4 linked regions of the Diceros bicornis minor genome follow. The protein of the gene in region 4 purifies or fractionates together with the protein of the main gene of each other region. This does not show direct contact. Links are inferred from orthologs where the notes say so. Each region holds a gene or a part of one and is shown on either strand. Other genes may lie near its edges. The genes, in order: PTPN11, CRKL, FRS2 and SOS1.

Region 1 (6,919 bases), on a different chromosome or scaffold from region 4:
GATCAAAATGAAAAGCCTCTTTTCTTCAAAAGAGATGGTTAAAAAAGTGAAAACACAAGCCACAGACTAAGAGAAAATATTTGCAATTCTGATAAAGGTCTTGTATCCACAAGAAAGAACTCTCAAATCTCAATAACAAGAAAACAAACAACTACATTAAAAAGGAGGAAAATATTTGATCAAATAGACATGTCACCAAAGAAGATATACAGATGGCAAATAAACACATGAAAAAATGATCAACATTATTAGTCACCAGAGAAAATACAAATTAAAACTATAATGAGATACCATGACATATGCAGTAAAATAGCTAAAATTTAAAAACTGACCATACCAAGTGTTGACAAAGATGTAGAGAAACTGTAACTCTCATATGCTGCTGGTGGGAATGCAAATGGTATAACCACTTTGGAAAACAGTTTGGCAATTTCTGAAAAAGTTAAATATACATCTAATATATGATCCAGCCATACCACTGATAGGTGTTTACCGAAAAGAAAAGAAAGTGTTTGTCCATACAAATATTTGTACACAAATGTTCAGAGCAGCTTTATTTGTAATAGCCAAACTCTAGAAACAATCCAAATGTCCATGAACAGGTGGATGGATAAACTGCGGTACATCCATACAATGGAATATTACTAAGCGATAAAAAGTAATGAACTATTTGACACACACTACAACATGAATGAATCTCAACATAATTACGCTGAGCATAAGAAGCCAGACACAAAATTCCATTTATATAAAATTCTAAGAAATGCAAACTAACATACAGTGACAGAAAGCAGAACAGTGGCTGCCTGACAACAAGGCAGGGATTATAAAGGCCCAAGGACACATCACAAGCCGTGATGGATATGTTCATTATCTTGATTGTGGTGACAGTTTCATGAGTGTATACATATGTCAAAACTTATCAAATTACACACCTAAACATATGCAACTTATGGCATGTCATTTATACCTCAATAAAGCTGGTTAAAAAAATAATAACACAGACCTACGATCTGAAAAATAATAATAAATAATTCCCAATTATGTGTGTTATGTGCATAATCTGACTTTTCAGGTAGCACACATTTCTCTTCTGTAATAGGTGAGTAAGAAACACCAGGGCTGGAGAGGAGGAAGAATTACTCTATTTCAAACTGTCATCTTTACCACTTGCTGCCTTGGCTATACCCACACTTCCCGGCCTATACACTAACAAGCTGGACAATGCAGGGTCTCTTACCACCCAGTCCCTTCCCTACCCAGCCCCCAGCCTTTCTGTCTCCTAAAGAAGCAGATCCTTACTTGTCTGGAAGAGCAGACACAAGGAACAAAAGGCTCAATGACTATTTGACAGATTAAAGAATAGACAACTGTTTTATTTAAAAACTCCCTAAAGAATTAGAACATTTGAGGCTATACACTGTTCTGCTGAAATGCAGTTATATATTACCCAGATCTGTAAGCACTTGCCAACAGACCTGTCCAAGTCACTCACGTCCTAAGAGTTTTCAGTTTTCTTTTTTCTCCCTCTTTTCATTCCAGTTTCACGAATGAATAACGTGCAGGTATATCCTGAGAAGACATACCTAACATTTTGAAAAGTCTCTCATTCAAATAACCCCAATAGCTTGAAATAGTTTTTCAAATGTCTAATATAGTGACCGTCACAGGACAATTAAGGAAAAGATTAAACAATGGGTCTTATGTGTGAATCTTATATAAAGAGTAGGACACAAAACAGCAGGATCATTATCGGAAAACAATACGTCACGCTACCGTTGAACAACAAAATTAAGGCCTACAAATGATTAGCAATAGTTATAAAAGAATAATAGCAATATGGTGATTAACAGCGGGGATTCTGGCCCCACCACTTATTGGCTGAGTGATCTTAGGCAAGTTGCCTAACTTCTGAAACTCAGTTTATGCATCTTTAGAACGGAGACGTTAGTACCTACCTCAAACGGTTATTGTGAGGATTAAATGTGTTTGGCTTACTGTGAGAGCTAAATCAGTGTTGGCTATTAGTGGTATTATTACCCTGCACTTGCAAAAGATCTCATTAATTCGCTAATCCTCCTTATGACTCAGAGTCAAGTCCTGTCATTTACTAGCATGTTATTGCTGAGCCTCAGTTTCCACATCCGTAAATCGGGGGTGATTAATGTTACCTGACTTTTAAGGTTGTGGTGAAGGATTCAATAACCAGAGATACAGCTCCCTTCCCTCCCATCTCTCAAAGCGAACAGTGCAGAGGAAGGAAATACTTCTAATAGCTGCAGATACAGTCAGTTTTTCCATTTCTGGCACGTGAGGGGTGGGGGGAAGGAGATGCAAAGAGGCACATAAAGGGGCCAGGGATGCTGAGCGAAGCCCCCAAAAGCGCGCGACCAGCAGAGCGACGCCGAGCAGCCCGACCGCCGGGGCCGGGCCCCGCGCCACTCCCTCCTCTTCCCTCCCGCGTCCCGGGCCGAGGAGCCTCCCCAAGCGAGTGGGGTTATTTCGGAATCACCATGAGGCAATTCTCATGAGGCAATGGGTCAGGAATGCGGCGCCGAGCCGGGCCGCTGGCGCCCGCCGTTCCCGCGGCGGCTCTACCTGGCCCCGTCCTGCCGGGCATCCCCCGGGCTGCGGGAGCCGGAACTCGGGGAGGCAGGAAATGAATGGGAACCCGAGGGGTGGGGGCGCGGCGGGCGCAGGCCCCCGGCCCCGGGAGGGCGCGGACGTCGGGAGGGGCCCGCCCGCTGACCCCAGGCGCGGGCCGAAGCCCGGCCGGGGCGCCCCCTCCCGGGCGGGGCTGACCGCAGGCGGCGGGGGCCGGGCCGAGGCCGCGCCGGGCCCCTCGGGGCTCCTCACCTCCGCGATGTCATGTTCCTCCCGCCCTCCGGCTCCGCGACGGACCCGCTCCTTGCTCAGGCTCCGCTGGGCCCGGTCACATCGGGCTGGCCCGAGGGAGGCCCGCTCGGGACCGGACGGGGGGCAGAGCCAGCCGGCCGCGCGCAGACCCCCCTCCAGGCCTGGGGATCCCGGAGACTGTGCAGCCGCCCCCCGAGTCCCGTTCGCTCCTCCTCCTCCCCCGCCCCTCGCCGCCGGCGCCACTCTGACGTCACCCCGTGCGACGCCCGCCGCCACTTCCTGCTTCCAGTCCGCCGGGGACTGAGCGGCGGCTGGTGATGGCAGTCCGGTGGCTCGGTGGGGCCGCCGCCGCGCAGTTCCCAAAGCACCTCGACGTCCTCCTTTAGACCTTGGCCGCAGGGCGTGCGCCGCGCGCTCAGTGCTGTACGCGCTCCCGGGAACCCATGCCTCCGCTTCCGCCGTGTCAGTTTCCATCCCCGACTGCCAAACCGAATTTCATTCATTTCATTCCACACATCGCCGCTCTGCTTCCTGGCTGTGTAACCTTGGGAAAGTTGCCTAATTTCTCTGAGCCTCAGTTTCATCCATTCCTTCATTTCTGTAAAATAAAGATAGTAATTGTATTTTCTTCGTAGGATTGTGGGAATTAAATATGTAAAATTCTTAGAACTAGGCCTGGCCTGTTTAGTAAGTGCTTTGTAATTGTTCGCTGTCTTTTCATTACAATTAAACATCTGTTGATTGTTTGCTATCTGCTAAGCACTGTTTTAGATTATGGGGATATGAACAGAAAAGACAAAAATCCCGTGCCTGTGTTCTCGAGGGAGGAGCTACAGTAATCAAGATAAGTAAAATACTCAAGATAATACTCGTACCCTCCTTTCTTGTCTTTTCTCCATAGCCCTTTATATTATCGTTTTCATTAGGGTAGTTAGGGAAGGCTTCACTGAGGATGACGTTTGAGTAAAGAACTGACGCTGGAGCAATCTATGGGAATAACTCGAGGGAATAGCATTTCAAGCACAGGGAGAGAGAAGTGCAAAGGCCCTGAGGCAGGAGGCTGCCTCCTGTACTATTTGAAGAACAATGAAGGGATCTCTAGCTAAAGCACAGTAGAAAGTGGGAGGGGTGAAGGGAGAGTAGCAGGAGATGAGGTGAGAAAGGGGTAGAGATAGTATAGAGTCCTATAGGCTATTTAAATGAACAGTAAAATGGAAAGCCATTGAAAGATTTTCAGCAGAGGAGGACTATAATCTATGTTTTAAAATTATTATTTTAGATATTCTCTAAGGAATCAGATCAAGAGGGCAAGGCTGGAAACAGACCAGTTTGGAATACTAGAATTCTGTAATATTCCAGGCTGGAGATGATGGTGGCTCCACCCAGAATGAGAAGGTAGAGTTTTTACTTGATGAAGGCCCATGTGACTCATTAAAGGTCACAGATCTAGTAAGTGGCAGAGTCAGAATTGGAACCTACATCTATGTGGCTCCAAAACCCTCATTTTTTCCTCCCAGTGCTCTCCAGCTCACTTCTGATAAATAAATGGCAAGCAATAGGACATATTGGAGTATATGAGGAAGCCATTTGGTGTAAAACTAATTTGGCCTGACCTTGTTTTTCCAAAAAGGCCTGATGTGGCTTTTGAACATGCATTGTATATCTGCTTTAAGCATTTACCACGTCCCGAAGACAAGAACAAATGCCCTTAAGATAAGGATGTAACTTCCCCCACATTGGTATTTCCTTAAGGATAAGCTTTTCTCCCTAGGCTAGGATTTGATTGCTGTCCTCATCTTGTGACCACCCAACTTGAGACAACAGACCTGGTACCTGCTGTGCCCATCAAGACAGCAGACCTGATGCCTGCTGTGTCCATCAATCGCTGTGCCAACAGGACAATCTTGTGATTATTGTAAAGGGACATCGCAATCATATGTGATACATGCTCTTTGACCGTGTATAACTGCTCCGTACACCCCACTTCTTTGGTGCCCTTCCTTCCTTGGGGAAGGAAGGCCCCGGGCTATGTGGTCCTCAAATCTGGCTCATAATAAACTCACCCCAATTTTGATTTATAGATTGATTATGGATTATTTGCATTGACACTTCTATATGAAGAACTCACATGCAGTGTGCTAACTGCTTTAGCCTTGTTACAAAAAAATCCTTACAAAAATTGTCTTTAATATATGCCAATTTAATTTAGGTAATAGGCATTCAACGAACAGTTGCCCAGGCTGTTTCCTTCCATTCCTCCTAAATCCCGGCCACCTAGATGACTCAAAGAAAATCCTAAAGGATTTTAGCCTGCACGCTTGCCCTCTCCAATCCATTCTCCACATAATAGCCAGGGTAATCTAAAATGCGGAACTAGTCACTCCCTACATTGCATATACTTCAATGGCTTCTCATTGCTTTTAGGATGAAGTCAAAAAACTTTTTAACAACCACCTGATCTGGTTCCTGCTCACTTCACCAACCCCACTCTCCCCACCGCTATGACCCAGTCATGCTGAATGACTTTCAGTTGTTCTCAATATGCCATGCCCTTTCCCAGCTCAGGGTCTTTAAACAATCTGCTCCCCCTCCCTAGAGAGTACTATGTGACCCCCCCCTCCCCATGAACTCTAGTCTACGCAGATCTCAAACTAGAAGTCATCTCCTCTGGGATAGGAAGACTTACCTGATTCTCCCAGTCTAGGTTAAGATGGTCCCCAAGACACCTATCCTGGCTTAGAAGTGAACACACTTCATTATAAATCTAAGACACAGTATCATGTGGGGGATAAGTTCTTGATCTCCAAAACTCAGCCTGCCTGCCTGGTTGTCCCCAGGTAAGTGACTTGACTCCTCTGTGTCTCAATTTCCTTCTCCGTGAAATGGAGGGGTGAAAATACTACCTACAACATAGGGTAAGTTGTGAAGAATAAAAGGGTTAATGATTGTGAAGTATTTAGAACAATGCCTGGCAAAGTAAGCACTTGGTAAATGCTGGTTATCATTTGTCTCTTTTCCAAAGTAAGCTGTAAGCTCTTTGAATACAGAAACTGAAGCCACGTACCTGATGGTTACTGTAGCTATTCAATAAGAACATGATTGCCTTTTGACCTTGTTCCCAACACAGACATAGATGATTTTTGTCAATTTGCTCTTTTCTTGTTTAACTTGAGGAGTGACTGATTTGTGAGTTTGTTTTGCAGAAGAAAGAGAATGCCTTCAGGGAGGTTGCAATCTCCAGACAGCCGGCCCCCAGCAGCCATTGCAGATTGTCTTGGGGCTTATCTGGAGTGACCTGTTTGTTTCTCCAAAGCTCCTCCTGGCAAGCCCATTAGCTCTATAAAAACTCCCCTCTTTTTGCTCTGATTAAGGCAGATTTGAGCAAACCGGTGCTCCCACCTTCTCATCTTGGCCAACTCAAATGGGGCCTTTCTCCATCTCCAAGCCCGATATCTCAGTCAGTGTTTGTCTTGCTGTGCATCAGGCATATGAATTTGAGATTAAGAGGTTCAGTATCAAAACCATTGCTTCCCCTGTCTTTCCTATAGTCTATACACTCTGCAGCTAGAATGATCTTTCTAGAATACAAATCTAATCATGTCCTTCTCCTGTTCTATGAGGGAGGTTCAAAGCCTTTAGCACTAAATGAAAATCCTTCCATTAGCACATCTGGCCCTTCTAAATACGAACCATGTCTACCTGTTCAGCTTCATTTATCCCCACTTCCTCACATAATCTGGCAGTTTCCAAAGGCCTCTAGCTGTTTCTTGCATCCCTGTATTCCAAAATTTAGTTCCTTCTGTCTGGAATGCACTTTAAACCCATCTCCAAATGGAAAAGTAAGTGTCAAGCAAGATATAGCTCCAACTCAATCAACTTGTGCAGTAAACATTCTCTGCACACACCCCTTGACCACTTCCTGAGAATAAAATAGAGCCCTCCTCTCTATGCTTTGCGGGCTGCCTGTTCATGCCTCTATTGGTCGGCAACACGGTTCAACATCATTGTTGATTGACTGTTCTGCCTCTTCCCTTAGATTATGAGCTCCTTTTAAAACAAAGTC
Region 2 (7,432 bases), on a different chromosome or scaffold from region 4:
TCCTGTTTGGGGTGTGAAGAAGCATTATATTGATTTTTGCATTTGGCCAAGGCTTTACTAGCCTCTAGTTTTCTACAAAGGCTAAAAACATTTCAAACCAAATCCATGAATCTCAGGCTTTCCTGAAATTCAAATCCATGAACTCCAAATCCATTAATTCAGATGCAACCCAAAGACGCAGTATAACAAAGCAAATCAAGTCAGGATCTAATTCAACCAGCATTGTGATCACCCTCCAAGATATCAGGGAAAATTAAAAAGTAAATTACAGCCACAGGCCTCAGGCGTAAGGCACAGAGAAGGAGAAACAATTACAGCTGAATGTGAGGGGGAGGGTCAGAGAAAGGTCCTATTATTTGTGAGGGGCCTGGAACAACAGGTAGGATTTCACTGGTCAGGAGTGGAGTGGAGTTAACGCTGTCAATGAAGAGCCAACAGCCTGAGCAAAGGTACAAAGCTGTGAGGAGGTGTGTAGGGATGGCTACCAGGGACTGAGTGAGTGGCCTTCGTGAGGCTGCAGTAAAGGAAGGATGAGAGGGAGCGAGGACACGCATCAAAGACAGAAAGTTCCGCCTGCTACCTGGGAAGACCAGTGTATGGAAAATTTGGATTCGTTCTTGTGGGTACTGGGAAGCCAGTGCAGCATCTCCCTTTTTCTCCTTCTAGAAGGGGATCAAGCCATTTACTCATACTTGTTGAGACAGCTGTATTACAGTACCTGTCACCTCAAAGAAAGCACAATACCCTGCACATAACATGGCTTAATAAATGCCTGAAATTAATGACATCATTCACCACCGCAAGTTAGTAAAGTAATTTACTTAAACACATTAAAAATCTCATTACAGTGGGTTCTAAGATTCTCCCCAACCCCTTATATTGGAATTATATTGTGCTCAAAGTTGACTCCAATTACCAGCATCTTTGGGGACCTGGAGGTTTCACCAATCAGATTCCTGGGGTCTACATCTTTGTTATACAGTATTTGATTTATAATCACTTTCTCCCATTTTTTAAAGTCCATTTAGTTCAGTAGTTAATCTAGTACAGTCATTATAATACCATGGTTTTGTTTCCTCTCTATATCTATTCCACAGAAGCAACACTTAGGCATCCAGTGGACGCTCCATAATTAATTATGATAGCTTTCAATGTTTAAAGTTCAGAGATATCTTGTCAGCAAAATCTATAAAGTCAGAAACATCTCATTCTGAAACATCTTTATTAGCATCCTCTCCATTTAAATAGATGCTTAAGAAACAAATTAGGCAAAGAAATACTTTTTATTTTTAAAATTCTAGGCAATTTCTTCAGCTCAAATTTGGCACAATTTAAATAAAAGAAACCTCTGACAGAATACTGATTAAGACAAATTAAAGCAAATAATCAAATAAAAAATGCATTTTACTTACAAAAGAGAATAGAATTAAGATAACTGTCATTCAAAAATTTCCCTTAGTAAGTAACATCTTAGCCTTATTCCTCCTTGGAATTTAACCAAATTAATTTCTAGCCTATTAATGGTCCATCTTGGCAGGAAACTATAAAATAAAAATTCAAAAAAATGTTCCCGCTGAAGCCAATGCACCTTCTTTTAAAATTTTGTAATTAATACATTATAAAACAGGTGTCTGGCTTATTTCAAACTTGGCATCAAGATATCAATATATAGTTGAAATTTCAGTTAAAGGTTTCTGTTTTTAAACGCTAAAGCATTTTCATTTGTCGACTATTTCAAAGGCTGCAGTCCAAGGGTTCTTGATCTGCAGTAACCTGGAGTGCACACATCTGCAGGGAGTCCAAGAACCTTGAATGCTGTGCACACTTGTGCGTACGTGCATTTTTGGAGGAGAGGGATGCCACGGCTATCTTCAGATTCTCAAAGTCTATAGCCCAAAAACACCACCACCACCACCCTGCTTTATTATGATAACCAAATAAAGAACGCGACGAAAAACAAAAAGCGTACATTTTAACTATGCAATCGCCGTTAAGCACGTTTAAAACGCATCCCCTCACCCAGTGACCCAGATCCTGACAGTAGCCTTCCGTTCGGAATGCCTTCTGGAAAATAATTTGGTTCAGAATGGGGACAAATAGGTTCAGTCACACCCCCCGCCCCCTCTTCGATCGACCCCAAGCGAACCAACCCGGCCCTTCTCGACCCTCCTCCGCGGTCGGGGTGGGCTGCGCGCCTACCTGGGCGCGGGCTCGATGAGGGTGGTGGTGTCCAGGTAATGGATCTTGTAGAACTCCAGCAGGGCGGGCAAGTGGTCAAACTCCTGGTCCCCGATCTTAAAACGGCGGTTGGGCAGCGAGTTGATGATGTAGTGGGAGACCCGCGAGTTCTCGGACACGGACAGCACATAGTCCCCGGGGCAGGTGGAGGAGTCGCGGACCAGGAACACGCCGTGGCGCTGACCTTGGAGCCGGGTCTGTGCCTCTTGGCGCGACACCGGCCCCATGTACCAGGCGGAGCGGTCTGAGGAGTCGAACCTGGCGGAGGACATGGTGTCGGAACGGGGCCCTGCGGCGGGTCGGGGCGCGGCTGCTCTCGCCTGCTCTGGTCGCCTCTGCCCGACAGACGGCTTTGGGGCCGAAGAAGGGCCTCGACACACCTCGAGGCGCGCTTACAAGGCCGAGCCAGCACCTTCCTCTCGGCTCCGGGCCCGCAGCATCCCCCGCCGCCGCCGCCCGCCTGCTCCGGGGTCGCCTCAAGGAGGGAGCCGGCTCGGGGAATGCGGGGCAGAGCCCGGGGTCGGGGCGGGCGAAGCCGAGCCGCAGCGGAGGCCGCCCCGGGGTCTCGGGCTGCCCAGCGTACCAGGGGTGCGCTCCAGTCACTTCTGGCCTGGAACGCGCCGGCCTCGCGCCCCTACGGCTCTGCACCGACCTCCGCCGCCACTCCAAGCACTAAACTCCAGGGAGCGTCGCGCCTCCGGGGCGGTTTTGCCCAGCCCGTTCCCAACAGCCACAGCAACAAAATGGCGGACGCGGGAGAAGCACCCGGCCACCTCCCCCTCTGCTCAGCACGCTCCGTCTGCGCACGCGCAGCCCCCGGCTCCCAGCTGCCGCCGGGGCCCTCCCCGTGACGTCAAGCAGCGCAGCCAATCAGGAGCGCGGTGGTGACCGTCCGGGCGTGCGCGGCTCTCGCCCGCTCCCGCGTTCCGGGAGGAGGCGGAGGCGGAGGTCGCGGAGGCGGGCACTCCCTTCCTGGACGGCGGTGTGCCGCCGGGGGCGCTGCAGCTGCCGGGTCTCTTTGAGCTGGCAGGAAAACAGCTGGACTCGAGAGGGAGCGGCTTTTCGAAAACCTGCTCTGGGAACAAAGCGTAACGTGCAGGCCTAATCTGCGGCCTGGGAGGCGTGGCACTGAGGTGACCTGGCCGGCCGAGGGGCCCAAGGGGACCCGCGCTAACGGAGACCGACGGGAGGACAGGCCCCGATGGGCCGAGGTGGCTCAGGAAGGAGACCGCGGGGGCTTAGGTGACCGGCAGATGGGCCCGAGGTGGCCTGGTAGGCTAAGGGACCCAGAGTGGCCAGGTGACCCGACAGGCACAAGTATAGGGTGTGAAGGTTGTATTGGCAGGATTAAGTGGTTTAGGAAGTCTACAGCCTGGGGTAATCTAGCCATCACTGGCGCTGAATTACTGCAAATAAAATGCAAACGCCTCTGGGGCGTGGCTTGAAGGCCTCGCCTGCTCCGGATTCTGCCTGCTGCTCCGAGTTAACCTCCCTCCATTCCCCCTTGTTTACCCCGCTCCAGCAGTGCCCTCTAGCCTGTCTACCAGCCCACCCCTGTCCTCCCCACTGGAATGTAAATTTTAAGAGAGCGGGAATCTTGTCTATCTTGTTCACCTCTGGGCCTAGCAAAATGTCTGGCCCTGACTTGATGCTCAAATATTTGTTGAATGAATGACTACTGAAGAAAACCTCAGGCAACTGGTGCTGGATTATTGGTAGCACCACCCCCGAAACTGGACAGACAAGAAAGTAACTGCACAGACAAGAAAGTATGTCCAAAAAGGGAGATGCAGGCAGTACAAACCCACGCTTAGATCCCTCTGTCAGTGGAATTGCATTCTGGCCGTTTGCACCCTCCCTCCTCCCCAGATTGAACATATCCTAGATTGTAGGGTGATAGGTGATGTCCATCTTTGGGTAAACTAAAGGGGAAATGTCAAGGTCTACTGCCTTTTGTGATTCAGCATTACAGGTTTTCATCTTCTCTCCAAATACTTTCATGTTGTATTAGTCTCAGGTTTGATTAGCACAGAATTTGAAAATGATGGCTTGGGTTCCACTCCTGGCTTAATCAGTTGACTAGCTGAGTGGCCTTGGGCCAGTTACTTAATCATCCATCCATGCCTCATATATTATTAAACAAGCTAATAAATGTAAAGTACTTAGAATAGTGCCTGGCACATATTAAGCATCATATAAGAGTTTTTTATTATTGTTATTTAGCCTCTTTCTTGGCTTCTACCTCCATTGCCTACAAACACGGAGATCTTAAAATGAGTGGATGAGGGTGGGGAGAATAATTCCCATTTGATTTGCTAGCTACTTTTCACTGCCAGATTTTACCACTTCATCATCACCCACTCCTTGCCCAGCCTTCTTCATTTGGTTTCTACCCTTACTTTGCCTGAAACTTGCCTTTGGAGATCATCACTGATCTCCATTGATCCCATCATTTTCCTTGATCTACCTGGCTCTACGCGTTTATGTTGAAAATCTCTTTCCAGAAAGACTACTTTTGTTTTTGTTTTTTCTTCTTTTAAGCTCCTGGGACACTAACGTAATTTCTTCTACCTCTCCAAATACACTTTCTCAGTCTCTTTCTGTGGCTCTTTTGTCCAGCCTCAAAGTGTAGAAACTCAGTCCTCAACCTCTCTCTTTTGGTAGCTTCTCCTTTGGTAGGCCAATCTTCATGAAGGCTTTAGGGGTCATCCCTTTGTTGGTGACTTCAAAACACATATATTCTAAAAGTAGAACAAAAACTGACCACACCCTATGCAAACACCTAAATTAATTTTTATCACATGCTATTGTAATTCTTTATGTGTCTCTCCTTTCCTAATCTGAGCATCTTGGAGGCAGACTGTAGTATTATTTTTTGTATTCCCAGTGCCTATCACATAATATACACCTAGTAAATGGTTTTTGAATGTAGGTGGATAACGATGGGAAGAAACCAGAGAAAACTAAAAATTTATTTTAGTGAAGGTAAGGAGACTATGTGATTTTTTTCCCCTTTTATTAACATAATAAATGTATTCAAAGTAGATATTTGGACCTAAGGTTTAGCCCCATATCACTCTCTGTTTAAATCTCCCATTTGGAGGGGCCAGCCTCGTGGCTTAATGGTTAAGTGCGAGTGCTCCGCTGCTGGCAGCCTGGGTTCGGATCCTGGGCTAGCACTAACACACCGCTTGTCTGGCCATGCTGAGGCCGCGTCCCAGCAACTAGAAGGATGTGCACCTATGACATACAACTATCTACTGGGGCTTCGGGGAGAAAAAGGGGAAAAAAAAAAAGGAGGAGGATTGGCACTAGATGTTAGCACAGGGCCAGTCTTCCTCACAAAAAAAGAGGAGGATTGGCACGGATATTAGCTCAGGGCTGATCTTCCTCACAAAAAAAAAAAAATCTTCCATTTGGATTAAATTTTGCCTTTCAGCTCCCCCTTTTCTGTCAGTAGCATCACTGTTTTCCTAATTGGCAGACTCAAATCTCAGTCATCTTTTACTTAACTGAAGAACTCCGTGATATGTGATTTATAAGTGCTTTTCAATTCACAGAACTTCACATAATACATTGTTTTGCTTAATCTAACCAAAGTCCCATGAAATACCCTGTAACAGAGGATCCAGAAGCTCAGAGAGGTTAAGTGACTTGCTTATATAAGTTATTGTAAGTTATATAATTTGCAAGAGGCAGAGCTGGCACTCTTAAGCCAGGTCTTTTGACTTGAAGTCAAGGTCTCATTTCACTGTTACACAACTGCCTATAATTTAGTCAATTTTCTTTGTTTTGCTGATAGTGAAAATGAGGCCCTCCAAAGTAAATTCTAGCACCAGAAAGGAATATCAATCTTGGAACAGGGAGAAGCGGTTGGATTTGTCCCCTAGCTTGGGTTTCAGATACCACCACCATTCTGCTGCCAAAGGGCCATGCTCCCCTCTTTAAAAATTCCTCTTAAAAATGAATCAAGGGGCCGGCCCCATGGCATAGTGGTTAAGTGCTTGCGCTCCGCTGCTGGCGGCCTGGGTTCGTATCCCTGGCACGCACCACTTGTCAGGCCATGCTGTGGCAGCGTCCCGTATAAAGTGGAAGAAGATCAGCATGGATGTTAGCTCAGAGCCGGTCTTCCTCAGCAAAAAGAGGAGGATTGGCATGGATGTTAGCTCAGGGCTGATCTTCCTCACAAAAAAAAAAAAAAAGAATCAAAATACCTCTCCTTTTGCTTCAAAATAGTCCAGTAGGGAATAGGGTATGGATTAGATAAAGATGAAACAAGAATGGCCTTGTGTTGATAATTGTTGAAGCTGGGTGACATGATGTGTATGTGTGTGGGGTTAATTATATTATATTATTCTACTTTTGTATATGTTTGGAATTTTTCACAATAAAATTTTTTTTAATTTTTTTTAAACGAGTCTCTATTTCTTTTTTATTTTTATTTTATTTTTTTGCTGAGGAAAATTGGCCCTGAGCTAACATCTGTGCCCATCTTCCTCTGTTTTGTATATGGGATGCCACCACAGCATGGCTTGATGAGTGCTGCATAGGTCTGTGCCCGGGATCTGAACCTGTGAACCCTGGGCTGCCAAAGCGGAGTATGGGAACTTAACCACTATGCCACTGGGCTGGCCCCTCACAATAAAAAGTTATTTTAAGTACTTTCATTTATTCTTCCTTAGCACAGCTGAGACAAGCTTTAAAAAAAATTCCAAAAAATGTTCTTAGATGTTAAGAGAGAACAAAATGGAAATGAATGGAGAAGCAACAAGGAAGCATTTAAAAAAGGGCTGTAACATAAAGATTTGTGATTCTGTCTTAGCTTGCTCATTCCCAGGGTTTCCAGATGGCATTATACTTACTCATCTTCTAAGATATTTACAAGCTAGACTCAAAGGACTGACAGGCTTTTTGAGCAACTTGTCCGGATTCCTTACTTCCTAGCCCTGAGGCTAGCTCTGTACAGAAAACACAACCGGGACCCACTGCTGACTTTTTGTTCTCCCCTGTCTAAGCAGGTCCAACCCTTCAGGTGATGGTTAAAGCCAGGCAATCGTTGTAGATTGCTGCCTTACTGAGGACACCAGAACAAGCGTCTGACCCTTCTTCCTGCCCCTGATAATTTTCTTTTTTCCCTCCTATTACTTTGCTACTCTAATACTAATAATGTTCGTATCCCCATTATAATTTTCCA
Region 3 (7,266 bases), on a different chromosome or scaffold from region 4:
AACATGTTCCACGATCCAGCCCCAACTTACCTTTCAAACCTCATCTCTTATTCCCCAAATGCACCTATAGTCTAGGTAATCTGGTCCACTAACTTTTCTCTGAGTACACAGTGAACTTTCCCACCTCCACACTGGTGCACACATCATTTCCTTTATTTGAAAAACCTTCATCCACCTACTCCCAACGCGCAAATTTTTGTCTTAGAAAAGTCTTACCCTCTGCAATGCTGAATGCAGGTTACCAGTTTATTGGGAGGTAGCATGATGTAGTGGAAATGCACAGACTTTGGTACCAGGCAGATCTGGATTCAAATTGGGGCTCAGTTACCGGCTAGCTACATAGTCCGGGCAAGCTACTTAACATATTTGAGCATCAGTGTCCTCATTATTAAGACGCTTATATGTTGTTGTGAAGCTTAGAAAATGTATGCAAAGCAACTAGCATAGAGCGTAGTGCTAGGTGCTCAATAAATAATAGCTTCAGAGCCACCTTCATATGGATTACTATACCTCCACCACTTTCCATGATCACTCCAGCTAAAAATAAACCCACTTTCCTTTCCTACAACTCCAAACTTTAGGTCAAACCTTCACATATTAAGTATTTACATATATTTATGTTGTAAATTTTTATGTAAACATCTTACATCCCCTTCTAGATTTCAAATTTCTAAAGACCAAAGACTTAATCTTTGTATCCCCTAATGCCTAACAGTGCTTTTCATGAAGCACACACCACCTTCCAATTAGAAAAAAATTTTAATATGCTTAAATACAATTCACCTCTTCATGATTTCTGACACAACTTAGAAAATTACTGCCAAAACATGCTATGGCTGTATCTTTATACGCTCCTACATGGTTGCCTAACGTAGCTTGATGCCGAAGAAAGCAAATGTCCAATATCTGTTGAATTGACATGAACATAATAAAATATACAATGCCCAAGCATATCCGATTTTCCCCAAGTACCTTTTCTGTTCTTACAATTCTTGAAATGTTTTCCTTCAAAACCACTGTTACACCATACTTTCAGTAATGGATCTATAACCATATCTAACTTGACTCCTTTTCCAGATTCTCTAAATTCCAATATTCCAACCTTATGCTCTAAACAATGAAGCACTTCAAACAGCTAAGAATCTAAATTTTCTTCCTAAATCTAAAAGTTGGGCAACTAATCTTCCTCCACAACTTTTTCCAGAGACTTTAAAAATCATCCACCCTTTGCCTGCTGAAGATCAACAACCCTGAAATAAATGTTCTTTTGCATAGGCAGCTCACTGAACTTGTCACTTCAGTCTATTTTCCCTAATTCACCGTATTACCTCCCCTTCCAGTGGTGGGAGGAGAGAGAATGAGATAAGTACTCAAAAAACTACAGTATGAATCCTAATATAAGCACCAGATGAGAAGTGCAGGAACATGTCACTGGTTTCACAACGGTGATTGTGTGTACTTTATACACGCGAAAACAATGGTCACCTGCCCAGAGTCACCACCTGCAGGGACTGCATTCCCTTAGGATCCTAAAAATCACTATTTGGACCGGCCCGGAGGGGTAGCAGTTAAGTGCTCGCGCTCCGCCATTGGCGGCCTGGGGTTCGGATCCCAAGCGCGCATGGACGCACCACTTGTCAAGCCATGCTGTGGCGGTGTCCCATATAAGAAAAAAAAAAGTGGAGGAAGATGGGCACGGATGTTAGCCCAGGACCAGTCTTCCTCAGCAAAAAAAGAGGAGGATTGGCATGGATGTTAGCTCAGGGCTGATCTTCCCCACAAAAAATCACTATTAAAAGCGGAAAACTCTCATTTCTACAAACCTTTCAGGAGCAGTTTATTACCTAAAATCTGTTCACTAAAAATAACTACACGCCACTTTTTCCACTAGGAAATGTTCAATTTACCCAAGGTAAACACTTCATAAGTTAAAACAACAACAACAACATAAAACAAAACACCTCTGCCCACCTATGTGAACCTCTGCATTGCAGCAACAGCTGTAACAGTACACGGGGCCTCTTAGGGGTTACCGAGAACAATGTTTCTTTAAAAGTTAAGGAAAATGACAGATCTAACTATGAAAGTATACAAACTTCAGGGCACAGAGAGTATAATTCTCCAACAATCTACAACCCATTCGTGCAACAACCGCAGATTGAACTCATCAAACCAGCATGACCTCAGAGAGCCACAGGAATTTGGAGATTAGCAGATTACAGAACAGCATCATTCTTTTAAATCTGCAAGAAAATAAGGGAACCTACCTGAACTACTGATTTTCCTCTAGCAAGTTGTTTTCTTAAGAAGCGACTTCAACAACAGCTTGAGCGAGCTTCCCAAGGAGTAAAGACAGCAGGAGGCACGCTGGTGCCACAGCGACCCACGTATCCAGAACCGGCCCCCAGCGCAGTCCAAACCGATCCCGGGCAACCCCGAAGCGAGTATGGACGAAGAGCCTGCCGAAGATCCCGGCCTCCTCCCCGCATCGCCCCGCCCCGGGCTGAGCGGCGACCCCGGGACCCCGGCTCAGCCCCGAGCCCCCGACAGCGCGCGGCGCGCGAAAGCCGGACCTGGGCCCGGGCAGAGTCCGCTGTTCCGGCGCCCAGCCCAGGGCAACCCAGACACCAGACCCCGGAGGCGGCGCGAGGACCCGGGCGCAGAAGAGGGGTCGGAGGGACGGAGGCCCAGCCACCCACCCCGAGTCCCACAGCCACAAGGCGCCCGGAGCCCCCTCCCCGGCCCGCCCCGCCCACCCGCGGCCCGCCGCCGGCTCCTCCCGCCCCGGGTCCGCGACGACCGCGGCGGCCCGCGCCCCTTCCTGCCCGAACCCGACAGCCGAGCCCGCAGCCCGGAGGGGCAGCGGGGCCCCAGGGCGCCCGCCCGACGCGGCCCCGGCCGGCGCAGTCGGCTCCCCGGCCACTCACCGTCGGCCCGGGCGCGGAGGGCGGGCGCGCGCGGGCCCCCGGGCTCCGACCCGGCAGGAACCCCGCTCGGAGCCGATCCAGCCTCCCCCGCTGTGCCCGCAAGGCCTCTCCGGCCCGAACCTTGGAAAAGCACTTCCGGGGGCGCGGGGCAGGGAGGGTTTGGCACCGGAACTGCTCGCGGGCTGGGGCTGACAGGGCCTCCCGGGGGCGGGGCCTCTCCGCGCGGCGCCCGCGGCCCAGCCCCCGACTGCTCGCCGACACCCCCGCGGCCCCGCCCCAGGCTGCCCGGAGGCCCCGCCCCCGACTGCTCGTTGACACTCCCGCGGCCCCGCCCCCGGCTACCCCGAGTCCCCGCCCCCGACTGCCCCGCGGCCCCGCCCCCGGCTGCTCGTCAAACCCCGCGGCCCCGCCCCAGGCTGCCCCGAGTCCCCCCGCCCCCGGCTGTCCCGCGGCCCCGCCCCCGGCTGCCCGTCAACCCCGAGGCCCCGCCCCCGGCCGCGGCGGCCCCGCCCCTGCCCCTGGGCCTGTCCCATCTACCCGGCCGCCTGATTTGACAGACGAGGAAACCCAGGCTCAGAGAATTGAGGTGCGGGGCCCTGCGCGTACCCCGGCCTCCTGACTCCAGTGTCCCTCCGCTCCAGTCCACCTGCTCTAAGAATCATGAGTTACATTTACTGAGCGCTTCCTACGGGTAGGCGCTGTATAAGGAACCGTCCCAAATCCTCTGACATTGGCCTGGTCTCTACATCTTGGGAGAAGGAAACCTGTCAAAGGTACCAAGCCCAATGCCACCACAAAGGTCGGCTCCCGATTTTATTTTAACTCGTGTCGTGTGTATAAATCTCATCTACCCCTAACAAGAGTCTTAAATTTTTGAAGGGCAGGAACCAAATTATACTCCTGTATGTATTCTATCATCACTTGGAATTTCAGCAGAGGCCAAGAGCTGGGGGCTCTGGAATTTTATTGTCTGGATCCTGTATTTACATTTACTTTTTCACCCTAGGCAAGTTGCTTGACCTCTAAGCCTCAGATTCCTCATTTGTAGTATATTTGATGAATGTGTGTGTGTGTACAGGTACATATATAATCATCTGTGTATCATTGTAGGAATTCAAAATGAAAATGCATGATGAGCCTCCAGTATACCTAGTACCAACGCAGCACTGGGTAAAAGTCACCAGTTCTCATACCTCATCAACAATAGGAAACTATTTCTCCTCCAGTGGAGTCACTCTAGCAGATGGTAAGGTGGGCCAGCAAGAGCAATAGAAAGGTTAGCTAAGGAAATAAGGAAAGAGTAGACATTTTTGCAATGGGAAAAAAGAATGTCGTAGGGCCAGCCTGGATACTTGTGACTCTGTGAGCTGAGACAGTATGAGGGCCCACAGAGTCTGACAGATCCCTGTCAGAGGCAGGGAAAGGAGGAGAAAAAAGAAAAAGGAATTTCTCAGCCACAAAACCAAGAAGGCACTGAACGACTGAGGCAGATTCTGTAACTGAGGCCAGCTACTGGGGGTGGGAGTTGCGGGGGTTGGGGGAGCCTCTTAGCACTCATACTATCTGCAAAACAAATTTACAAGCATCTCTTAAAACTGTAGGGGAGGAAGGTTTTTAAATTTTCTGCTAAGAAAGGCAGGGGAAATGGAAATAATTCAGAATGCTTTATTACGCTTTTAAGACGTAAACAATGCCTTTGCTATTGGCTTTATTTACAGCACTGTCTTGTTTATTTTTGTGATTACAGAAGTGTTTGTAAATACTTCCCTAATACCCCAATTTAAGCAGCCTTTCGTGCCTCAGAGTGTGAAGAGGTAAAAAACAGAGCCTGGGTCGGCAAGACTCACTAACTTCTCTTTCCACCACGGGCTCGGAGGGATAATGAGAGGAACCGTGAATGGCAGATGTTGTCAGGCTCCCTGCGGGACGCAGAAGTGCTAGAAGTTTGTCACTAAAACTGGTTATCTAACTGGTAGATGGTGCAGCCAGGATCTGAATGTGGGTCTGTCTCCTCGGATGCTTTTCACCGCTGTGCCCGTAGTTCTCAGACCTGAGAGTCAGCAGAATCACCTGGAGGTCTTGGTCAAACACAGATGGCTGGGCCCACCCCCAGAATTTCACTAAACCACTCTCGTGCTTCTCTGACATGTAGTCCCTGGACCAGCAGAGTTAACGTCATCTGTGAACTTGTCACAAATGCAAATTATTAGGCCCCACTGCACACCTGTGAATCAGAAACTCTGCTTTAACAGGCCTTCCGGGTGACTCAGTCATGCTCGTGTGAGAACCACTGCCTCTACTCTCGCCTCCCAGAGTCTTCTTTCTCTCGAATTATCCCCAACAGGAATCACTCTACTGAAGCAGAGTTCTTCCCATTGAACTAAATGACAGACTGAAGCATCTTTACTCATGTTTTGCTCTCAGTGGGAGATAAGGCTAGAAAAAACTTAGTATTAATGGAGGATTCTTTTTTGATTACTTTGTGTTGAAATTTAACAAGATAATTCTGGGTTGGGGGTGGAACTAATCTTATTTGGGAACCGCTCTGTGCCAGGACTTTCATGCATTTTCTACGTTAATCTTCATTACACTACTATGAGGTTTTATGGTCTTAATTTTACAGAAGAGAAAAACTGAGACTTAGGTGAAATAATTGATTTAAGGCCACATTCTTATTCAGGGGCAGAAATCAGGGTCAAACAAAGATCTTTCTAATTCCAAAACTCACAATCTCTCCACTTCGTGGCAGGAGCTGGAGAACCCAATTCCAGAGTGGGCCCTACCACCCCAACTGTGCAACACTGAGTCAGCGATTTAATCTCTGTTTCTGTTTCTCCGTCTATAAATAATGTTATTATAAATCTGCCCCTCCCACGCTGGAATGTTGGAACAAATGAGGAAATAAAAGTGTAAGTGCTTTGAGCTTTTTGAATTAAAATAGTAAAAAGGCAAGTTATTGTAGTATTTTATGTTCAGCCGAGTGTTGCTATGTGAGCCTGAGCATTGAATCTTTCCTGGTTATCTCCTGATTCATACAGAAGAGGTTCAAAGGCTATACTTGATGCCGGGAAAAAAAGTTGTTTGACTTCATTTGTCAGTGTCTTCTGTAGGTTAAAGAAGATGACAGAGGATTTTATGGGTTTCTTTTAAAAGTTACAGGGAATCTCTCACCGGGTTCATAGGCTCCAGGTTGTTGCCAAACTGCTGGCGCATCCTCATCCTAGAGATCTTTCCTCCAAACCCTTCCCTTCTCCCTATTACAGGCGCCCCTCCACCCTCCTGCCTCCACCCACTGGGCGAAGAGTTCAATTCCTCTGACTTTATTATGTAGAAGGATTTAGCTCTCAATCCTCCTCTCAGGCCTGACTCCAGGCCTATCTTTGTTAACAGAATCGCAGGTTGCACAGTTCCAGGGGGCAACGTTCACAAAGGATACAACCTGAATGGTGGTCCAGGAGGTGCCCATTGCACCGGCCACAACAGGAGAGGTCCGCCTGGAAGTGTGCAAGGCTGAGGCCCTGTCTATGCATAGCTCCCACCCCAAAAATCCCTTAAGGTGTTTTGTTAAACAAAAGAGCCATCTACTTGGGTGTCCACCATTTCCCAAGCTCTCCAATAATGGGGTTCTTTGTTTTTGTTTGTTTTAACGTGGCCCTGATCCAATACTTAAACCACCAGGCTTGGGTCCTGGGTCCCACACTCTGCCATGGCATTTTCCACTTTCTTCTGTGACATCATTGCCCACCTCCCCACTAGACTTGTGAGCTTCGTGAGGACTTTGTCATATTTCGTCTTCCTCACCTTTTACTCCTGCCTTGGCCCAGGTGCTTGAAAAGCATTTGCTGATTTGAAAACCAGCACAGTGTACTCCTCTTTCTGTGCTAGTGTAATTGGCAGAGATTTGACAAATGGCCCTCCAATGTGTTGTTTGACCCACAGAGGTTCGTACCAAGAAATAAACTGAGCCAAAATTTTAAAATTGGGAAATGTCATGTGAAAAAATCCCAATTTCTGGCACTTCTTGCAAAGTTAGACGCTGGCAGAGTGGGCGTGCCTCCCCCGGGCGTCAGCGTCTCGGCTGCGATGCAGCTTCTGCTTCAGGGGGAGCTGGCCTCACTCACGTGTGGACTCTCCATGGCAGCACCAAGCCTGGATCCCCTAGGGTAGGGGACCATGTGGGTGTTTTGGAGAAACAAGTATAGAATTTTGCCTTATAGATTTTACATGTGCTCATAACTATTTATTCCAATGTATTTCAAGCTAATTTTAAATCGTTTTTCTGGGGTAGAAAATTGTGAGATACCATGTATCATTTCTAAACAAGCCTCGCAAGTGCAGA
Region 4 (7,309 bases):
GATGTACACCTGAAATTTATATAATGTTATAAACCAGTGTTACCTCAAAAATTAAATTAAAAAATATTTTAAAAAAGAGGGAGAGGGAGGGAGGGAACCAAAGTATTAACTAAAGGTGCTAAAGGGTGCGTATCCAGTGGTTTTATCAGCCACTATTTTCTCTGGTGTATTTTCTGGGGACATCCTGTTTCGAGAAGTGGAATTGCAAGTAGGGATTGGGAAGAAAGGGTGAGGAGAAGCATGAAGGGAAGATAAGCTGCTGGAAGAGAGAGGACCTTGACTTTGCTAATGGCTGAAACTGCTGTTTCTTATGCCTGTTTAAGGGGAGGCATCCTGAATGGGGCCTGAGAAAGTCTTCAGAGAGAAGGTGACATTTGAGCTGGGGGCGACAGCGTGGATGCGAGTTCCACGGTGAGCGTGTACATGGGCGGTGAGGTGCAGCTGTGGCGGGTGGGATTGGACAAAAACGGTTATTGGCATTCCCGGCAGACGGAACAGCATATGTAGGCAACAAAGACGAATAGAAATGATGGGTTTATGGGAGGCAATAGTAGTTCATTTCCAGTGAGAGAGATATCTGGGAAGATAAGTAGTGGCCCTATTGTGTAAGGCCATGAATACCAAGCAAAGGACTTTGGACTTCATCTTGGGATGGCAGTGGAGGCTCTTGAACAGGAGAGTAACCGGATCTGAAGTTTGCTTCAGGGAGATGATTGTGGCGGCAGCGAAGGAGGCAACCCTGTGACTGCTGGGGGCGGCGGCGTGGGGAAAAGAGCGGAGTGCTGCGCTCCCACCTGCAGGGGGCGCGCCAACGGACCGAACGCCCTCCCCGCCCCCTTCCCTGCTGCCCGGGTTCTGACGCTACGCGCTCGGAACTCGGCTAGCCCGCCTGGACGTGCTCATCTCGGGCCTCGGCTAGTCCGCCTGGACGCGCCCCCCGTGCGTCACGTCCGCTCTGGCTCCAGGCTCCTTAGAGCTGAGTAGGGGCGCGAACAGAACCTCTGCGCCTGCGCCGCGGGGCAATAGTCGGCGGTTAACGCTGAGGGGCCCAGGGAGCTTTCCTGGCTTCCGTAGAACGTATCTGAGTCCGCCACAGTTGTCTTCTCTCGCTGCACGCTTGTAGGTGTTTTCATTTGTCCCAAGAGATATAGGCAAACGATGCAGAGGAGCTCGACTGCTCCCTGACCTTAGCGGCGCCGAGGTCAGCACCACTCCCCTTTGGTTGCTCAGCTCAGAAGCGCCGAGTCTCTTCTCTGCAATTTCCCTCCAGCTGCTTGCTCTCAGTCTGCGGCCAAAAAGTCCATACTAGTGAGAACCTGCCCCGGCTGCTAAGCGCGCCCAGCCCAGCGTGTAATCCATGTTTCTAGGGCTTGTTTACCTCTGCAGTCACATCAGAGACTCGAAGTTGAAGGGGACCTTGGAGGTCATCACGTCCAACCTCTTAACCCTTCCCGACATCCCGAGTGAGTGAATGTACGGTTTTTACTTGCACACCTCCGAAGATCGCCCGTTTCCCGAGACAACTCCGATTAGGTAGTCTTCCTGGAAGTTTCCTCCATCCAACTTTTATGTGTCCACTTTAGTTCATCATCATATCCCTAGGACCTACACTACTTGGCACACAGTAGGCGCTTGATAAATATTTTTGAAGGAATAAGATTGTTGATCTCTTGGAGTTTTCCATTCTACTGGGGGGCAACCAACAACTAAAAATAGTTAGAGGCCGTGATTTATGCGAGCAAGGAAATAAGCGGAGGCTTATGGTAGAAATACATAGGTGGGAACTACTTGGTGTGATCAGTGTGGCCTGTTGGAGGTGGTGACGTTTGTAACCAGCCAAGTGAACAGTTAGGAGCAGAGAGAGTTCCGGGCTGGGGGAAGATCAAAGCCCTCGAGGCAGGAAAGATGTTGGTGTTTTCTAGGAATAGACAGAAGGCCAGTGTGACTGCAGTGTGGTGAGCCAGGATTGAGAATGGTGAGAAAAGGTTGAGAATGTAAACAGGAGCCAGATGCAGGCTTGTGGGCCATGGTGAGTAGTTTGAAAGGTATTCTAAGAAGAATGGGAAGCCCAAGAAGGATTTGGGGCGGAAGCTTGATCTTAGTTCATTGGTTTAGAACCACACAAACCATATCATATATGGTTTTTCTATGTTACAGTCTTTTAGATATTTAGAGATGTCTGACATGTTTTCGTGAGACCCATTTTTCTGTCCCCAACTCCTCTCAAAGCTGTAGTTCCTCTACCTCTTCTTACCCAGAGGTAAGAAAAAAAATGGATAATTTTCAAAATGTCATTCTGAACACTTTGAAAGCATGGAGAATTTTTAAATGTAAATCATGTGTGTACATTTTTAAAGAAAAGGACCTAAGACTTATGAGATTCTCCAAGAGGTCTTGTAGAGATTACCACTGCTTAAACATTTCTCCTCTATGTGATCCTGTTTTTTTTGTTTTTTTTTTTGAGGAAGATCAGCCCTGAGCTAACATCTGTGCTAATCCTCCTCTTTTTGCTGAGGAAGACCTGCTCTGAGCTAACATCTATTGCCAATCCTGCTCCTTCCCTCCCTCCCCAAAGCCCCAGTAGATAGTTGTATGTCATAGTTGCACATCCTTCTAGTTGCTGTGTGTGGGACACGGCCTCAGCATGGCGGGAGAAGTGGTGCCTGGGTGCACGCGGGGGATCCGACTCTGGCGCTGCCGGTGGCGCACTTAACCGCTAAGCCAGGGGGCCCGCCGGGTATGTGATCCTGGTTATCATTCTCTGGAATAGCAGGGTACTATGTCAACTTCAATCCAGGCTCATCCTCTAAACTGTCTTCTCATCTGTGAAATGAAAACAATAGGATTGCTATGAGGATTAAATGAGATTATGTTCAAAAAGTGCTTAATGGTAAACCATGAGGAGCCGGCCACACATGACCACTCTTATAAACACCTGCATCCCTGGGATGGAGGAAGAGTTTAGATAATGCTCCTTTGGCATTCCACAAACATTCACTAAGTGCCTATTCTGTGTAGAACCCCTAGTGAAAAATATCTGCCTTCCAGCAGTTTATCTAGTTGAAAGAGCCAGGAGAGGTACAAAACATAATAAACCAAATGCTCTGAGAGGGGCATGAGTAAAGTGATCTGGGAACTGCAAGAGATCTCAATTTCCACTGGAAGTAGGTGGTTATTGGAGTTCATATTTGAAGTGGGTTTGAAAGATGAACATATTGAATCTAAAAAACACACAAAATCAATACTACACGTACACATTTTATTCTTGGTGATGTGGAAAGACAGATTGGAAACATTGCAATCACTTCCATTATCCGACAAATACTGAGCAGTAGGTTTCGTGAGAAAGGCACCTATCTTTTGTCCAGTCTGTTTACTATACATTGCATGCTCTGGGCAGTCCTTATCTTCATGTTCAGGAACAAAGTACACAAATACACACCCCTTTCCGAAACGAAAGGTCTAGGCACTCCAAGAGAGGGGTGGGATCTCTCGCGGCCCAACCACACAATGGGGGCCGCTTCCCCGTAGCTCTCACCCCGCCCCCCCCACGCCCCCCCATCTCGCAGGCCCCACTCAGGCAGGGTTCGACTTATCCGGGCCCTTTCGCTCCTCCCCTGCAGCCCCGGGGGGCGCAGCCACGGCCCGGCGGGGCGTCCTCCCTCACTCGCGCTTCCCTCCTCCTTCGCCGGGGAGCCGGAAAACCCGGAGCGAACCGGCCCTGCCCGGCGGCGCATGCTCAGTAGCGAGCAGGTTCAGTTCGCTAGTAGGAAGCTCGAGCGCTACACCGGCGTCGGCGGCGGCACCTTGGGGCAGGCAGATTCCCCAGCACCGACCTCGGGCCCGTCCTCTCCCCCGCCAGACCCCGGCCCCAGCTCCGCCCCGCCGCGCCCGGGGTCGCTCGCTCATCGGGGTTCCCGCGGCGCGGAGCGTGCGCCGCGGCCGGAGCGTCTCTCCACAAGCTCTTCCCCAGCCGCGGGCTCCGCCGCGGGGCCAGGCCGGGCCCGAGCGCGCAACCCCGGCAGCCGGGCGGGCGGCGGCCGCGGCGGAGGGCAGCCCGGGGCGGCGCCGGAGGGCCGGGGAGGGTTGGGGGGGCCCGGCCCCGGGGCGGTGGTGCGGGATGCCGCCGCCGCCGCCTCCGGGCTGCGTTCGCTCTCCGCGGCTGGTGCCCGTGTCGGGTGGCTGGCCGGGCGCGGGCCTCGCCCCGCAGCCCCCTCTCCAGGGCTAGCCCGGCCGCGCGGCGCCCCGAGGGGGCCGGGCCGTCCAGTGGGGCCGCGGCCCTGTTCCGCGCTGCGAGCTCGCCCTCTCGCGGCTCCCCGGCCCGGCCGCCGCCGCCCCTCTCCCCGCCCAGAGGCGCCCCGGGGGCACCATGCAGGCGCAGCAGCTGCCGTACGAGTTTTTCAGCGAGGAGAACGCGCCCAAGTGGCGGGGGCTGCTGGTGCCGGCGCTGAAAAAGGTGAGGAGCGCGCGGGAGCCCGCTTCCCCGCTGCAGCCCCTGCGAGGGCGCCGGGCCGGGCCGGGGCAGGGCTGGGGAGGCGGGGCGCGCGCGGGGCCGTCTTTCTTCTCGGTCTCGCCGCCTCCGCGAAAGGACGGCGCCCACTGAGCGGTTCCCCCGCACGCGCTGCCTCCCGGGGTTGACGTTCACCCGGTGTGGGGGAAGGCCGCAGGAGGCCGGGGAGAGTTTGTCCGGATAATCAACCCCTGAGAGTCCTGCTCCTGCTTCAGAGACGAGAGTTGGAGGAGCCTCAGTTTTCAGTGGAGGTCAAAGCAGGCCACTTTTCCGCCTTCTCGGTCTTACCCGGAGCTGCTGTCAGCCTCCGTTTTAGGTGTCCAGTCTGCTCGTTTTAGTGGGCTCGAGAATGCTCTGGCCATAATGCTTGCTCTAAGTAATTGCAGAGCTCGCCTGCCAGCAGGAACATGGCCTGCTCTGCTCGCCCTCGGTAATCACTCTTCATTCCTCTGAATTCCCTCGCTCCTCCGATTAACCGGGGTGGGTGCACATGCCGCTATTTTCTTTCTTTTCTTTTTGTGAGAGTCTGAGAATCTTGGTGCTGTCATTCGTTTTGTTGATTAGAATTTTCAACCTGGCTGTGTTCCTTCAAGTTTGCCACATTGTTACCTCAAGTTAAATACCTTGTGATCTGTATTTTTAAATGTTTTAGTATAATTAGGAAATGTTGCTACATTTTAAAAGCTTCTAAAGCAACATTGTGAGTTAATTCAGAAACTTGTGTGTTTGAATGAACATAAAAACAACCAGAGTATTTTTTGTTTCCCTTTTACCTTTTCTATAAATATAGGATTGCTTTACTCTTTTAATAGTGTTTCTACATCCCAATTTTTTGTTCCTCAAACAATGTTTCATGTTATCTGGTTAAAATATATTCTGCTGAGAGTTGAGATTATGGTGTACCTTTTGTTCTAAACATTTATACTTTTGAAAACTGTGTCTTAAATGGTGTCTGATATTTCTCAAAGGCCAGCAACTTTTACTTTCCATTTTGTCCTGTCCTCCCTGTCTCCCTCTTGGTATTTTACAGAGGAAAATATTTGGTTTGTTAGCAGAAACTGGTCATATATTTCAGATATAAGTTACTGACTTTTTTCCTCAGGTGTCTGACTAGTCACAAACGTCTCTGTGATATTGTTTTCTAGGAAAATCAAAGAGATGCCATATACTGTATATACTTTATTCATTAGTAATCCCGTCAGGCTTTCACGCTATTTAGTTTTGCTTTACCTGCAAACTTGACATCTTAGCTTGTAATAGAAGGGTAGTAGGAGGTCTCAGTGATGCTGGAAGCAGGTATCCTGACCTAGGTGGGGCCGCGGTGGGGAGGAGACAGAAAAATTGTTGAAAACATACAAAAGAACTCATAAAACACTACCAGTTTGGGGCTATTTTGTTTAGAAGCAAGCATATCCTATCCCAGAGTAAACACCAACGTACCCATCAGTTGAGGGTCCTATGAAGTAGTGGAAAGAGCGTTGTAGGAGTTGGCAGACCAGATGTAACTCTGCCACACGTAGACTGATAAATGCAGCAAGACTCAAGATGGCCCTTGCTGAAATCTATCCACAGAAGCATTTTGTTTGGCTGGCATGGTGTTGTTTTATTTTTAATGTAATTAGTTGCCGATATTTAAAAATGGGAGATATTACATAAAATCTGAATTTTCAGCTTTTCTTGAAGAATAGGAGGATCTCTCCACATTGGGCCTGCATTCAAGCAAGGCAGTAAACTGCTGGAGCTGAGGAAATGACTGTCCTCTTTAGACATGGCACATCTCTTCAATTTACACAGTCCCCACCAGTCCTCTGCTTATTTACATAACCCAGCTTTGACTTTAAGCAGAGATACCCTTGTATAACAGTAAAAGTGATGAGAGGAGGTGGAATCTAGCTGATATGTAAGGTTCTCCAAATTCTTATTTAAAATATCCACTAATGATAATTCTAAGCCACCTAAGACAAGGTTGAAAATATATTTCATATCTGGATGTGCTCTTGGTAGCTCAAAACCTGCATTTTTACCTGCCTGCTAGACATTTCATGTGGATATCTACTATCTTGAACTCTTCTTTTGGGCTTGCTGCAGTATTTGCAGATGTGCCCAACTTGTGTTATCTTACCTGAGGCTCTTTGGACATGCTCTTCTCTTCACCTGGATTGCCCTTAGCCTGGTCTAACACTTCTCACCCTTCTAGACTCGCTCGTCCTCAGATCTTTCCTCAAATCCTTGGGGCCGAGTTGGATAATCTTTTTAAATTTTCTTTTAGCACCCTAACCTAGTACTTAACAATGATTTTTAAGTTCCTATTTACTTGTCCTCCCCCCTCCCCAACTAGATTGAATGGTCCTTGAGAACAGGGATGATATTTTACCCTCCGTTGATACAGTGCCTGACACCTAGTAGGCACTTAAGTTTGAACGAATGGGTGAGGGAATACCCAACTAAAACCATCACCTCCCTGCCCTCCATCTTCTGTTTAAAAATTTCCCCTCTTGATTAATGGCTTTATTTTATTTGACTGGTTCAAAACTTTGGAGTCGTCTTGGACTTCTCTCTTTTGCATTACGGCCCACATCCAGGCACAGCCTGTAGATTTATTCCACTTTGACATGTTCTTCTAATCTATTCCCTCCTACTCCAACTGCTCTGAGTCCCCTTTCCCAGACTGCTGTGATAACCTCTTAACTGAGTTCACTGCCCCTCACCTCTCCTTTATCAATTTTTCAAATTTCAGAAGTTATAGTACACTTCTGAACACGTCACACTCTTGTTCAGAACCGTTGATGTCTTTTGAGG

What was found.
Region 1: the proteins of SOS1 (region 4) and PTPN11 purify together in Homo sapiens (affinity purification with western blotting; 4 studies listed by BioGRID and IntAct, with this or other methods). This does not show direct contact. The link is inferred for Diceros bicornis minor from reciprocal best matches to the Homo sapiens genes SOS1 and PTPN11.
Region 2: the proteins of SOS1 (region 4) and CRKL purify together in Homo sapiens (affinity purification with mass spectrometry; 3 studies listed by BioGRID and IntAct, with this or other methods). This does not show direct contact. The link is inferred for Diceros bicornis minor from reciprocal best matches to the Homo sapiens genes SOS1 and CRKL.
Region 3: the proteins of SOS1 (region 4) and FRS2 purify together in Homo sapiens (affinity purification with western blotting; 5 studies listed by BioGRID). This does not show direct contact. The link is inferred for Diceros bicornis minor from reciprocal best matches to the Homo sapiens genes SOS1 and FRS2.

Annotation. Positions count from the first base shown.
Region 1 is NC_080774.1:10,559,252-10,566,170, reverse strand, and holds the start of PTPN11 (tyrosine-protein phosphatase non-receptor type 11), read right to left. Parts: upstream 3,017-6,919; 5' UTR 2,871-3,016; coding exon 2,857-2,870; intron 1-2,856. UniProt on the Homo sapiens protein: Acts downstream of various receptor and cytoplasmic protein tyrosine kinases to participate in the signal transduction from the cell surface to the nucleus. Positively regulates MAPK signal transduction pathway. Dephosphorylates GAB1, ARHGAP35 and EGFR.
Region 2 is NC_080774.1:30,944,090-30,951,521, reverse strand, and holds the start of CRKL (crk-like protein), read right to left. Parts: upstream 3,021-7,432; 5' UTR 2,511-3,020; coding exon 2,200-2,510; intron 1-2,199. UniProt on the Homo sapiens protein: May mediate the transduction of intracellular signals.
Region 3 is NC_080756.1:1,868,326-1,875,591, forward strand, and holds the start of FRS2 (fibroblast growth factor receptor substrate 2), read right to left. Parts: upstream 3,008-7,266; 5' UTR 2,928-3,007; intron 2,661-2,927; exon of another isoform or gene 2,268-2,660; intron 1-2,267. UniProt on the Homo sapiens protein: Adapter protein that links activated FGR and NGF receptors to downstream signaling pathways.
Region 4 is NC_080751.1:45,264,642-45,271,950, forward strand, and holds the start of SOS1 (son of sevenless homolog 1), read left to right. Parts: upstream 1-4,302; 5' UTR 4,303-4,369; coding exon 4,370-4,456; intron 4,457-7,309.